3 linked regions of the Saccharomyces cerevisiae S288C genome follow. The gene in region 1 interacts genetically with each later gene. Each region holds a gene or a part of one and is shown in the gene's direction. Other genes may lie near its edges.

Region 1 (7,766 bases):
CAAGAGCAAGAAAAAAAATGGGGGAAGAGCGAATAAGCAATGATTGTTATCTACATAAGGGGTAATTTGGCTAGTTTCTAACTGTCATCCCCATGCAGCCTGTCAAAGACTGATATATGCAGTCAAGAAATAAAAAACAAATTGCAATAAGCTCTCCACTATAGATGGCACAAAAACAGGTTAATAACAAGTAGTTATTACATTCCTCAACGAGATGAGCCAACAAGCAACCAATAGTGCACCTACTTGTCTAACTTTAATTGAGGTTGTGCTCACAAGAAATGTTTTGCCAGGTATCTACCTCAATTGAATAACAACCGCAAAAGCTTTAGTACTAAATTGTCTCTCACCTTGTCTTCAAGAAAAGGGGAAGGTAGATGAGAGAGAAGTCTTGCAATTTTTCTCAACCTTTCAACTCGAATGGAAATCAGGTTGTAAGGGAAGCAATGAAATGTCAGCAAACAGCCACTGACTGTAATTCTTTTGTTGGAGTAAAAATCAACTATCATCTACTAACTAGTATTTACGTTACTAGTATATTATCATATACGGTGTTAGAAGATGACGCAAATGATGAGAAATAGTCATCTAAATTAGTGGAAGCTGAAACGCAAGGATTGATAATGTAATAGGATCAATGAATATTAACATATAAAATGATGATAATAATATTTATAGAATTGTGTAGAATTGCAGATTCCCTTTTATGGATTCCTAAATCCTCGAGGAGAACTTCTAGTACTTTCTACATACCTAATATTATTGCCTTATTAAAAATGGAATCCCAACAATTATCTCAAAATTCACCCACTCTTCATCTTTGAAAAGATAATGTATGATTATGCTTTCACTCATATTTATACAGAAACTTGATGTTTTCTTTCGAGTATATACAAGGTGATTACATGTACGTTTGAAGTACAACTCTAGATTTTGTAGTGCCCTCTTGGGCTAGCGGTAAAGGTGCGCATTTTTTCACACCCTACAATGTTCTGTTCAAAAGATTTTGGTCAAACGCTGTAGAAGTGAAAGTTGGTGCGCATGTTTCGGCGTTCGAAACTTCTCCGCAGTGAAAGATAAATGATCTACTATGATGAATGACATTAGCGTGAACAATCTCTGATACAAAATCGAAAGATTTTAGGATTAGAAAAACTTATGTTGCCTTCCTTCTGAAATTTATTTTTTGTCACTATTGTTATGTAAAATGCCACCTCTGACAGTATGGAACGCAAACTTCTGTCTAGTGGATAACAGAATTTTTCTATGGCCAATTTATTCTTTTTTTTTTCCCTTTTCTTAATGTGCGTATCATTGCCGGGTTTGAAATTTCGAAATTAACTACTAAAAATTACCGCTTTAATGTATGGAATATGTGTATCTTGCTAGTTTTGCGTTGCCCTCGCGATATCCCTATACGCCCACAGTGCAAACACAGTAGAGCTTTGTGATAATACTCGCAAGGAATACAGTACATCAAAAACTTATTACACAGGCTTTCCAGTGCACTCACACCCACTTTACTGTTTTTTCTGCTTTTTTTCTGCTTTTTTTTCTTTTTCTTTTTTTCATCTTACTTACTTGAGCCTAGATAATAGAAGATAGTAAGTTTGGCAGAGCCCAGTCACAAATACAGATTAACCTCTAACAAAGTCCACATCGACACCGTTTCCAACTTGATATCATAAACTTTGGATATTGTATTAAAGTTACCAGTATCACTTTTAACAAATTTTTTTTTTTTTTTGGCTATGCTCATCGTTGCCTGAGTATTCTTTAGTCATTTCCAGTTTCTTCAATAACAAAAAACATTAGTACGCGTTTCTATAATTAGGTGAAAGCATAAAGTTTTTAAAAATGACCGTATTACAACCACCATCTAGTGTTTGTTATCCGCTCAACCTCCCTATTGTACCGAATCCCAATCTGGATGAAGCAACAAGGAAGAAGCTCACTTTGGAATGCAGAACTGGAGCTGCAGTAGAACTAGCCCGTTCAGGTGTTTTTGTCCATGGTGGGCTCACACTACCTTTAAATCTGACTATTATAAATTCATTACAACTGCAAAAGGAGCTAATTCTATATTTTGGTAAACAGAAGGATAGAAATGCTGATTTTAAAACATTAGCTGATTGGATAAGCCCTGAGATATTTTTCCTTGATTTAATTTCCAGAACATGGCAAAGAATAAATACTACAATAGATACTACATCAGAAAATGAGTTGAATAACGGCTTAAGCTTTAAAGAGAGATTGTTTCATTCGATGTGCTTCACAGAATCCAACATTTACATTTTCGGTGGGCTTATGGTGTCGCCTCACAACGGCTATGAGCTGATAGCAACAAACGAATTATGGAAATTAGATCTTAAAACAAAGTGCTGGTCTTTGATAAGTGAAAACCCTCAAATTACAAGACGTTTTAATCATAGTATGCACGTCCTAAATGAAAATAACGAAAATCAAGATACGAAGCTAATCATTGTAGGTGGGTTAGATAATATGGATATTCCTGTTAAAAAAATTGATATATTTAACCTACGTACAAGTTTATGGGAGTCAGAATCGAAATCGGACGAAAACCCAGCTTCAAAGGGGTCGTCAAAAATACTGGTTAATATTGATGGGATGCCAATTTCTTTATCTCACGATTCCAACTTCTCAGTTCTGATTGAAAATAATCAGGCAGAAATTCCGACATTGGCATTATATTACCCTCAACGCGAGGCAAACACGTCCAGAAGGGGAACCGACGATGGTAGTTTCTCTACTTACGCTCATGATCTAGACGACAAATCCAAACTACCAAAACATCACCATCACCATCATGGCGATCTTAAGTATTTTGAAAGCGATGATGCAGATGAAAACGCAGTAAAAACACTTATGTCGCCTATCGTAATTTTGCCACTACTTGGAAACTCTCAGGGCGCTAGGATGACATCAAACCCTACACAAAACAACAAAGAAAACTCTATTTTACAAGTACCTTTTCACTTGCAGTATCCCTCAGGTAATTACTTTAATTATAACATTGTTGTAATAGGATTTTATCCAGACCCCCAACCTTCCAATCTTCATTGTTTCATTTATAATATCGCTAGTGGAAAATGGATAAGAGTAAACATAGCATGTACTGAGTGCAGTATTAGTATGCATAGATTTTGGAAGCTTCTGATTTGGAAGTCTCATCATCAAGCTTTATTACTTGGTACCAGAACAGATGATTTTTGTTCACCTAGCGTTCAAAAATTCGATCACATTTTATCATTCTCTTTACCAATGTTAAACGGCTATAATAAATTAGTGAATACCAAACACACACGCACTAATAATGGCATCGCTAATAGTCATAACTTAAACGTAAATCTAAGTCTTTATGATCATCTTCCATACTCTAATTCATCAACGATTGAGCACACAAATCCATACACAGTAACTCAAGGATATTCCTTAGACGACTCAGGGATCCCCCGCTTGACTTCGACTGCGACCTCACAATTTGAGAACTATTCCAGATATATAACTGTACCATTAGAAATGGAATCAACTAGTTCTATATTTCCGCCATATGCTATGGTTTTAGGTAAAGATGCTCTAGAAATATTCGGCAAGACTTTATCTGATTTCGAATTTATCACTGCTGATGGTGATTCTATCGGTGTTCCAGTATATTTATTGAGAAAAAGATGGGGGAGATATTTTGATTCACTATTATCAAACGGCTATGCAAATACATCTTTCAATTATGAGTTTAATGGAGACACTTCTAATATCATAAGTTTTTCACCTCATACAGCCTCAAAAACTACCAAGTTTGGTAACTCTAGTCAATCATCCAACGGATCCCTAGAAAAATACTTTTCTAAAAACGGAAATAGTAAATCGAACAGTAATACAAGTCTTAAGAAACCACATAGCGTAGACTTTACTTCATCAACATCGTCACCCAAGCAGCGAGCCATCTCGCATAATAAACTATCTCCTTCAGAACCGATACTTTGTGCGGATGAGGAGGACAGTCGGTCAAACACGTTAAAACAACATGCAACTGGAGATACTGGCCTGAAAGAAACAGGCACCTCGAACAAAAGGCCGATATCCACCACTTGCTCTTCTACAGGTATGGTCTTTAGGGTTCCCTTTCAGGACATGAAAAATTCAAAGCTGGGGCTTTCAGAACAGTCTGGTCGCTCTACTCGAGCAAGCTCTGTTTCACCTCCTCCGGTATATAAAAAATCAACTAACGATGGTAATGATAGCAATTGTACACTTTCCAATACACCTTTAGTTTATAGGCGAGCTTCCACAGTGGGAACCACCACGAATAGTTCGGTAGATGACGGCTTTTCATCCATTCGGAGAGCCTCACACCCTCTTCAATCTTACATTATAGCCAAATCTTCACCCAGTAGTATATCAAAGGCTAGTCCCGCGGAAAAAGCTTTCTCACGTAGAAAATCATCCGCATTAAGGTTTATAGCAAGTCCAAATCAGTCGCGACAGACTTCATTTGCATCTACTGCCAGCACTGCCTCTGTTGTAAGTTCTACTTCAGGAAGAAGGCGCAACTCTAACCAAATTTCTCATTTAGGAAGCTCTGCAAGTTTACCAAACTCGCCTATCTTGCCTGTGTTGAATATCCCATTACCCCCACAAGAAAAGATCCCACTAGAACCACTACCGCCGGTGCCAAAAGCACCCTCAAGAAGAAGCAGTTCCTTGGCGGAGTACGTTCAATTTGGTAGGGATAGTCCAGTCGCGTCAAGAAGGTCTTCTCATTCCACCAGAAAATCGAGCTCCTCGGATGCAAGGCGTATCTCTAACTCTTCTTTGCTGAGGAATACTCTAGATTCGCAACTGCTAAGTAATAGTTATGGCAGTGACATTCCTTACGAAGCAAGTATTCAAGAATATGGCATGAACAATGGAAGAGATGAAGAGGAAGATGGGGACAATCAAGACTACGGCTGTATCTCACCTTCCAATATAAGGCCCATCTTTTCCACCATTAATGCAATCAATATAAACGGCAATTTCAAAGAAGGTGAATTTTTTTCTTCAAAATCATATATTAATAATGAAAAGAGTAGAAGACTTTCTTACATTTCAAACCCTGAAAGTGTAGAAAGTACAAATTCGAACAATAACGCCATAATCGAGTTAGAACCCTTATTAACCCCGAGATCATTGTATATGCCTTGGTCGACCGCCTCTGTAAGAGCATTTGCAGAGTTCTTTTACACCGCACAAATTAATGGCAAATGGCTATTAGCTCCTGTGACCCTGGACCTGCTTATCATGGCTAAAATATACGAAATTCCAATTTTATACGAACTGATTACAGAAGTGCTGTATAAGATAATCAGCAAAAAGGAAGAAGGTCTTTCAGTTACTTGCGAAGCACTACTAAATCTGTTCCAGCAAAAGGTTTCGAGATATTGCAATGAAAATGAGGGCAAAATAAGAAAGCAGTTGGATTCTAGCGAATCATATCAGGACACCTTAGAGATAAAACGTTCCCTAGCCAATATAGACAACGGATACGTTGATTCATATCTTTTGCGAAACACTTCAATGGCGCAATCAATACACTACACGGATGACAGTAATGGAGAAACCGAAATAGATATGCACCACACGGGAATTTCTAGCATAGGATCGCTTGCCAATAGGGCTGTTCCTACTGTTTTTGCCGGTGGTCCTAGAGACAGCCATAATTCGATTGGTTCAATTGCATTCCCCAGTAATTCGGGTGTTCAAAATATTCGCCGCTCTGTGTCCTTATTTAGCCCAGCGACGAAGAAGAAATCCAGCTTAAGTAGGGAAACAGATCCATTAGATACCTCCGATCAATTTACTGATGATGTTCCTGATAGTGGACCAGTCAGCCGGCAACAGAACTTTCCAAGAAGAAGTAGTAGTTTTACTGAAACAGTTCCCACAGAACCTACGAGATATAATTACCAAAATTTGGACTCTAGTAAGTCAAACAGAGCTTCGGACGATAAAGAGGAACAAAACGAACAAGCTACGCTCCAGGACATTTCGAACTTCGATAAATACAAGGTTGAAACGTTGCAAAAGAGAAACAGCAACGATGGGAAAGATTTAGACCGCACTAATGATCCATTGAAGAACAGAGGAACAGAAATACCTCAAAACTCATCCAATTTAGAGACAGACCCGTTTATTCGTGATAGTTTTGATAGTGATTCAGGTTCTTCCTTCCGCTCTGATTCTGATGACCTTGATTCACAGCTAGGTATTTTGCCTTTCACAAAAATGAATAAAAAATTACAGGAGCAGACATCTCAAGAATTTGATGATTCTATTGATCCTTTATATAAAATAGGATCCAGCACTCCAGGCTCTTCAAGATTACATGGATCATTTTCCAAATACATTAGACCTAATTCACAAAGAGAAGATGGTTCGGAATATGTTAATATATCTAGCCTGGAAAATATGGTCTCACCCAATGCACTACCACCTGTCGACTATGTCATGAAGTCTATTTATAGAACTTCTGTATTGGTTAATGACAGTAACTTGATGACGCGCACGAAGGAAGCAATCGAATTATCCAAAGTCTTGAAAAAGTTAAAAAAAAAGGTATTACAAGACATTTCACAAATGGATGACGAAATGAGAGAGACTGGAAAACCAATTTTTGCACGCGGATCTTCTTCTCCTACTCTAAGTAGGCAGCACTCTGATGTCGCGACACCGTTAAAACAGCAAGAAAATACAAGACCAGCTTTAAAATTTGCATCAAGTTCCCCGATCTCGGAGGGATTCAGGAAATCGTCCATCAAATTCTCACAGGCGCCTTCCACTCAGATCTCACCTAGGACTTCCGTTACAGATTTCACTGCATCTCAACAACGGAGACAACATATGAATAAAAGATTCAGTACTCAGACGACACATTCCACATCTGCTCTATTCATGAATCCTGCCTTTATGCCTTCTGCAGTGAATACTGGACGTAAGGAGAGTGAAGGGCATTGTGAGGATAGATCAGCGACTGCCAACAGAACAAATAGGAAAGAAGACGCAACTACAAATGATAACGATAATATTGCCCCATTTCCTTTTTTCGGTAAACGAAGATAAACATATTAGATAATATCCAGATAAAGCAAAAAAAAGCACAACTAAAACAAGGTATTATGACAAAACAGGTTTCAGTTATAGATATTTATAGACGTTATAACTTTGGTATAATAGAAGAATTTTAGAATTTTAGAATTTTTTTTTTTGAAAACCAATACTTAAGGAAGTATTGAACTTCACGGATGCCAAAATTTCCTCGTCAAATTAAAACAATTTTTTCATACCAAGTCATGCGTTACCAGAGCCAACCCAGGTGAGACTGGATGCTCCATAGATTCCAAGATTTACGTAAGAATTCAAAATACAGCCTCAGTTATTAATAGTTAAAGCACCGCTATAAAGGTGGTGAAAAAGGCCACGGCACAATCCACATCGACCCAGGAAAGCATCTTACACAAACTTTGTGAAAAACGCCCCGGATAACTAGAGTTATTTTAAAACACAGATGTTACACATGAACTATAACCTATCCTCATCGACTGTAATAGTTGATGGGGATTTTGAAATAAAAAAATGAAAAGATCAATGACAAAAAAACTACAGCGAAACGAAATAAACCTTCTTCAAATCGACAAGAACACTTCTATTTATATAGGTATGAAAAGGAAAAAGTGAAAAAAAAATTTCTCGACTGCTTACAAGGTGCC
Region 2 (3,119 bases), on another chromosome or scaffold:
ACTTTAAACCGGGTAATATAAACTTCTCATATGGCTTTTCTCCAGGGAAAGAAAGGGAAGGGATACTTCAATGACGAAGGCTTAGATGACAAGCTAATACAGAAAGGGAAAGGAGCAGGGCATCGGAAGGAAATGTTGCATTTGGAAGATGACAATGGACGACAAAGGTCAGTGATAGCGAATTTGCAGAAATTCGTTTATTGCTGCCTGTACTTGAGGTTTATCAAAGATGGATCATTATTCTTGATCCTCCTGGGGTGGATAATTTCATCGCTCTGTGATTTCATTCAGGAATTGACACTCAGGTACCTGAAGAAGAACTATTTAGAGGTGGGCCGCGACAATGATCAGGAAGATGATGAAAGTCTTGCCATCAGAGGGTTAGAAACACCTATTGTAAGAATGATAATAAACAAAGCCATACGATATTACCAAGGCCTAATACTTCTAGAAACAGCGTACTGTATAGTATACCACATTAGGCTAGACGTATCGAGAGACATATGTTCCAAACCGTACGGATTTGTGATAATGCTTTTGATAAGGGAATTTACTTGTCCGGTACCCACAGCGTTTCCTAGCAAGCTACTTCTGGTACTACTCGATATTTTATTACTTTTCTGCCAGATTGTAATAATAAACGGCTCACTGAGCTCGAGTCTTCAGAACGTGAAACTTATTGTCAAGGAGTTGAATGCAGAAGAAGAGGGCGCACTCAACATTCTCAAACTTAATACCTGGCACATGGATGCAACCGGACCGGAACTCATAGTACTCAAGAATCATGACAAGTCGATTCCTCAACAGGCAGACGGGGATGACGCTACAGAGATCACTCCTCTACTGAATATCGCCGAATAAATTCAAGAAAGGAAAAGAAAAAAAATTACCAAAATGAAAAGAACGGAAAAAAAAGATGAACAGAAAATAAAACAATACGTGGTTCTTCTACTGTCCTTCCCACATCGCCGACAGAGAAAAGACAAGCAAAAAGATGGGCAAGAAAGCACACGGAGGAAAGATGAAACCTGAGATCGACGAAAATGGTACTCTGCTAGTACCGCCACCAAGGACGATTGCGAACCAGGACCATTTCCATAGATTAAACTACCTCTACCAAATATCCGCTTACCAAACAAGAGCAAGACAGAAAGCAAGAACAGACGCACATACGCCTTTGGCACGCAATTATATCAAATCAATGGACCTAATTAGTAAGAAAACCAAGACATCACTGCTTCCTACGATAAAGAGAACAATTTGTAAAAAATGCCATCGGTTGTTATGGACCCCAAAAAAACTGGAAATCACATCCGACGGAGCGCTTTCGGTAATGTGTGGGTGCGGTACCGTTAAACGTTTTAATATTGGCGCCGATCCTAATTACAGGACCTACTCGGAGCGGGAGGGTAATCTACTAAATTCTTAGGGTTATTGGTAGGGTTTTGGACCAATGTTTTGAGCAGGACAAAAATGCGGAGTTTCCAGATTTTCTTTAAGAGCCGACCCCCCACCCCCTTGCCCCTATACATGGGGTACGTGCCTGTATTTTGAGGGAAAACTACGACATAAAACACAGGGAAAAAAACGAGACGCCCGTTTGAAGAAGGTAATGTAGGATTCCGTCTTGCCAGCATAGCGGATAAACACCGCAAGGAGGTGTTGTGGTCGGTAATGAGTGGCACGAGGTGTTTGCTAGGCGTCGGACTACCAGTTGATGTGACTGCTACGGAAACTTTGACTCATGATGAACAAGGACCAGGTGTAGAGCCAGGACCGTGTTCGCGAGGAAGTTCTATAGATGGTCTGCTGCCCTCGTTGCTCGGTCCACATGATGATGTGGATGACGATTCGGCGGCTTTTCACAAGTACATGACACTATCGCGAGATGGCGCAGGCGCCATCCATGCTCCGTCATTAGTCGAAGACGCCTCAAGGAACGACGACGACGACGATGATGAAGACGACGACGACAGTTCCATGTCGCGAGACCTATCCAAGGCTCTAGATATGTCATCGTCATCATCGTCCAGCCCGCGCGTTCAAAGTCGGCGGCACCGTAGTTCTGTGAGCGCAATATCTGCAATCTTACACCAAGGAAAATCTGGCCGCGAAGACATAACTGGAAGCCTTAGCGTTCCGGCAGAACAAGAAAAACTCAGTTTTCTTGCCAAAGCCTCGAGTATTTTCTTTCGAAGGAACAGTATGCCCAGAGACAAACATACGCATTCAGTATGTCCCGCTAGCCGCCCAGATTCCGAGAGATTTATCGTCACATCTGCAGCCGCGCAGTCTTTACGCCGCCAACAACAACTGGAAGACGCTCAGTACGCTCGAGTTATTACAAACTTTCGTACTATAGGATGGTGCTCTCCCAGCGAGATAGAGTCTGTGGAATATAAACGGTCCTTGATCAATGCGGAGTGGGACGAAAAGATCTCGCTTTTGTCTCACGCGCAATGCTATAAATAATAAATATACATATATATATATTTATATGTAGATAGATGTGTGTATATATATGCTAGGTAAAGAAACGGAAAAATCGAAAAATCGAAGTTGGAGAGGAAAAACAAGACATCAGGCCCGCACGTTTCGCGGGCTACCTGCCCATGTTCCGTCTCTTAATGTCATTCAACAATTTCAAAGACTTAATCTCGTTAATGTCATTGAGCTTTGCTTTCCAAAACTCATTTTCCTTGTTCAATTGCTCTATACGATCGCGAAGTTTGTTGATTTGCGTGTTTAAGTTCTGCAGCTTATTCATGTTCTCAAAATTCTTTTGTTTCTTGCGAATGCGGAACCGCTGCGACGCCTCTGTGTTCTTTCTTCTCCGCTCTTGCTTAATCTTATCCAGTTCGTTAGAAGTGCTCACGGGAGCTTCCTCTTCTTTTACAACAACTGCTGTTGTTGCGGCAACCTTCCCCTTTCTCGGCTCGCGGAGCTTCTTAAACTGCGAGACATCCTGGCCATTATTTATCATGCTAATGAGCTCCTCCGCGTTGCCACTGCTAACCAGCAGCAATGATAGCAAGCGCGAGCCCAGCTCTGAATCGCTTGATATCAGGTTCTGTAGATGTTCCGAAAGATTGTTCACGTTCATACCCTTCCTGCTTGCA
Region 3 (3,096 bases), on another chromosome or scaffold:
TTGCGGTTCCAAATGAGATGCCATCACAGCACGAAAGTTCTCCGAATGATAATAATATACAGGGCAAATATGCAAATAAAGCACACACTGGAATTCCGTCTGACTATCAGAATGAACCAGTCAATAAAAGTGGATCCACATATGGAGAGGAACTGTCACCGAAACTAGACTCCTCTCTTGTAAATGATACAACCAGCTTGCTGCTTCCGCAACAACCTGTATTTGTGTCCGAGAATGTTGGTTCGGAATTCAGTTCTTTGAATGAATTTCTTTCTATGCTAGAAAATCCTCTATTGACTCAAACATCACTAAGTTCCAGCAGTGCGAGCAATGTTCATTTGGAAAATGGCTCACAAACCACACAATCGCCATTAGAGTACCAAAACGACAATCGTAGGGATGAAATAGGAGTGGCAAGACAAGAAAATAGGTCGCCTACTATTATGTCAGGTTCTTCCAATAGTATCTCGAAAGGGGATAAACAAGATCAAGAAAAGGAAGAGTCTCGAATTCTAGCGAATGCAAACGAAAACAGTGCACCGACACCGAAGGAACAATTCTTTTTAACAGCGGCGGATCCGTCAACAGAGATGACACCAGAACACCGGCTGAAGTTGGTCATAAATGCGAAGCTTGAAGCAGGATTATTGAAGCCGTATAATTATGCCAAGGGGTATGCAAGACTACAAGACTACATGGACAAATATATGAATCAGTCTTCCAAGCAAAGGATTCTGAAACCACTATCCACCATTAGACCGGCGTTTAGAACCATTGCGCGTTCATTGAAGGATGTTGACTTAGTTTTAGTGGAGGAGAGCTTCGAGAGGATGTTATTATCTTATGATCGTGTTTTCACCTCTATGAGCATGCCAGCGTGCTTGTGTAGGCGTACCGGTGAGATTTACAGAGCCAATAAAGAGTTTGCTTCACTGGTTGACTGCACAGTCGATGATTTACGCGATGGAAAGCTTGCGATCTACGAGTTGATGACAGAAGAAAGCGCTGTGAATTTCTGGGAAAAATACGGGTCCATAGCGTTTGATAAGGGTCAGAAGGCTGTTTTAACAAGTTGTAGTCTTCGAACCAAAGATGGAATCCGCAAACGGCCATGCTGTTTTAGTTTCACTATCAGAAGGGATAGGTACAACATCCCAATTTGCATCGTCGGGAATTTCATCCCTTTGTCATAAGCATAAGTAATACATAGTAGGTAATTGGTATTTCCAGCGTCATTAAAAAGCAAAGTAACGGGTTTACTTTTTCCTCAAGCCGCTGGCCCGAGCAGTTACTTGAAATAGCCGTATTACTACGAGCAATACGAAGACCTTTTTCTACCAGCATTTGTTTTTTTTCAAATCATTCCCATTATTACCCCAGGATCTTTTCATAATGCGGCGACCAGAGATAGGGAAAAAAACTGCGAACTGGCTGAATCTGATTTGGCGAAGGGCAGATTCTCGGGTATTTCTGTGAGGGTGACCGCCGTTGATATATATCAGTGACTTTTGGGAACCTTTATCTCATTTATTCTCAAGATAGAACTGTAACGAGGGTGAAAGAAAAAGAACTGTAAGATGACATCTATAGATAATAGACCTTTGCCGTTCATATACCAGTTCACAGCCGGTGCCATTGCCGGCGTCTCGGAGCTATTGGTGATGTATCCATTGGACGTGGTGAAGACAAGAATGCAATTACAAGTGACAACCAAAGGTCATCCCGCTGTTGTTGCAGCGAAAGCAGCAGTAGATCACTACACGGGCGTGATGGATTGTCTTACAAAAATTGTGAAGAAGGAAGGATTTTCGCATCTTTACAAGGGTATCACATCGCCTATATTAATGGAGGCTCCGAAAAGAGCAATTAAGTTCTCCGGAAACGATACATTCCAAACGTTTTATAAAAAGATTTTCCCCACGCCCAATGGGGAGATGACTCAAAAAATCGCCATATACAGTGGTGCGTCCGCTGGCGCCGTGGAAGCCTTTGTCGTCGCGCCTTTTGAACTAGTGAAGATTAGATTACAGGATGTGAATTCACAGTTCAAGACACCCATTGAAGTTGTAAAGAATAGTGTTGTGAAAGGTGGTGTTTTGTCACTTTTCAATGGGTTGGAAGCCACTATCTGGAGACACGTTCTTTGGAATGCCGGTTATTTCGGTATAATATTCCAAATTCGGAAGCTTTTGCCGGCGGCTAAAACAAGCACGGAAAAGACCAGAAATGATTTGATCGCAGGTGCTATTGGTGGCACTGTCGGGTGCTTGTTGAATACACCATTTGACGTGGTAAAATCTAGGATCCAAAGAAGTTCCGGGCCGCTGAGGAAGTACAACTGGTCCCTGCCTTCAGTGCTGTTAGTTTACCGTGAGGAAGGGTTTAAAGCATTGTATAAGGGATTTGCGCCAAAGGTCATGAGACTTGCCCCCGGTGGTGGGTTATTGTTGGTAGTTTTCACGAACGTCATGGATTTTTTCAGAGAAGTCAAGTATGGTAAAAAACAATGATCCTGACGCTTTTTATTTCATTTTGTTGTAGCCCGCCCATACATGTATACGTATATATATATATATATTTATTGGAAGTAAAAGTAAAAAACTCGCTTACCTAGCACATGTTTAAACAAGCGTTGAAATGAAGGAAATAATGAAAGTCTAGTTTTGTCTAGCGATAAATAGTGTTAATTAAAACAGCCTTTTACAACTAAAGAATATTTATATAATAATGATGCCATATACCACACATGGGAAAACAAATATATAAGGGGGAAGTGGGAGGATGAAAAAAGAGTAATGAAAATACTAGTAGTACCAGGTGAGGTAAAACAAGCACGTCCGTCCCGCTTTCACCCTGGAGAAATATATCTAGGAAGATATGCATGAGAAGAGGGAGAGAAAGGAAATGCTAGATTAAGGGAAAGAAATATGACAATATTAATGAGAAACATCCATGCTTGCACAAATTAAGTCCAACTTGTTGATTAGTGAGGGTTTGATCTTGTTCTTGTCCCGGTTATCTTCTTATTCATTACGATAACATGGTTGGAGTGTTTCTCTTAGATTTGTAGTCCTTAATAGCTGCCTTGATCGCATC

What was found.
Region 2: mutations in PMD1 (region 1) and YIR016W together harm fitness more than expected from each alone (negative genetic interaction), as found in Saccharomyces cerevisiae (2 studies listed by BioGRID).
Region 3: mutations in PMD1 (region 1) and ODC1 together harm fitness more than expected from each alone (negative genetic interaction), as found in Saccharomyces cerevisiae (2 studies listed by BioGRID).

Annotation. Positions count from the first base shown.
Region 1 is NC_001137.3:424,541-432,306, reverse strand, and holds PMD1 (Pmd1p), read left to right. Parts: upstream 1-1,857; coding exon 1,858-7,119; downstream 7,120-7,766. UniProt on the Saccharomyces cerevisiae protein: Negatively regulates early sporulation-specific genes. Seems to exert its function by positively regulating the Ras/cAMP pathway. Required for growth under alkaline conditions. Acts synergetically with MDS3.
Region 2 is NC_001141.2:380,954-384,072, forward strand, and holds YIR016W (uncharacterized protein), read left to right. Parts: upstream 1-1,674; coding exon 1,675-2,472; downstream 2,473-3,119. Other genes in the region: VLD1 (Vld1p), read left to right, coding at 133-861; ribonuclease P protein subunit RPR2, read left to right, coding at 995-1,429; MET28 (Met28p), read right to left, coding at 2,603-3,119.
Region 3 is NC_001148.4:297,985-301,080, reverse strand, and holds ODC1 (mitochondrial 2-oxodicarboxylate carrier), read left to right. Parts: upstream 1-1,577; coding exon 1,578-2,510; downstream 2,511-3,096. Other genes in the region: gluconeogenesis transcription factor RDS2, read left to right, coding at 1-1,193; iron-binding protein ISU1, read right to left, coding at 3,031-3,096. UniProt on the Saccharomyces cerevisiae protein: Transports C5-C7 oxodicarboxylates across the inner membranes of mitochondria. Can transport 2-oxoadipate, 2-oxoglutarate, adipate, glutarate, 2-oxopimelate, oxaloacetate, citrate and malate.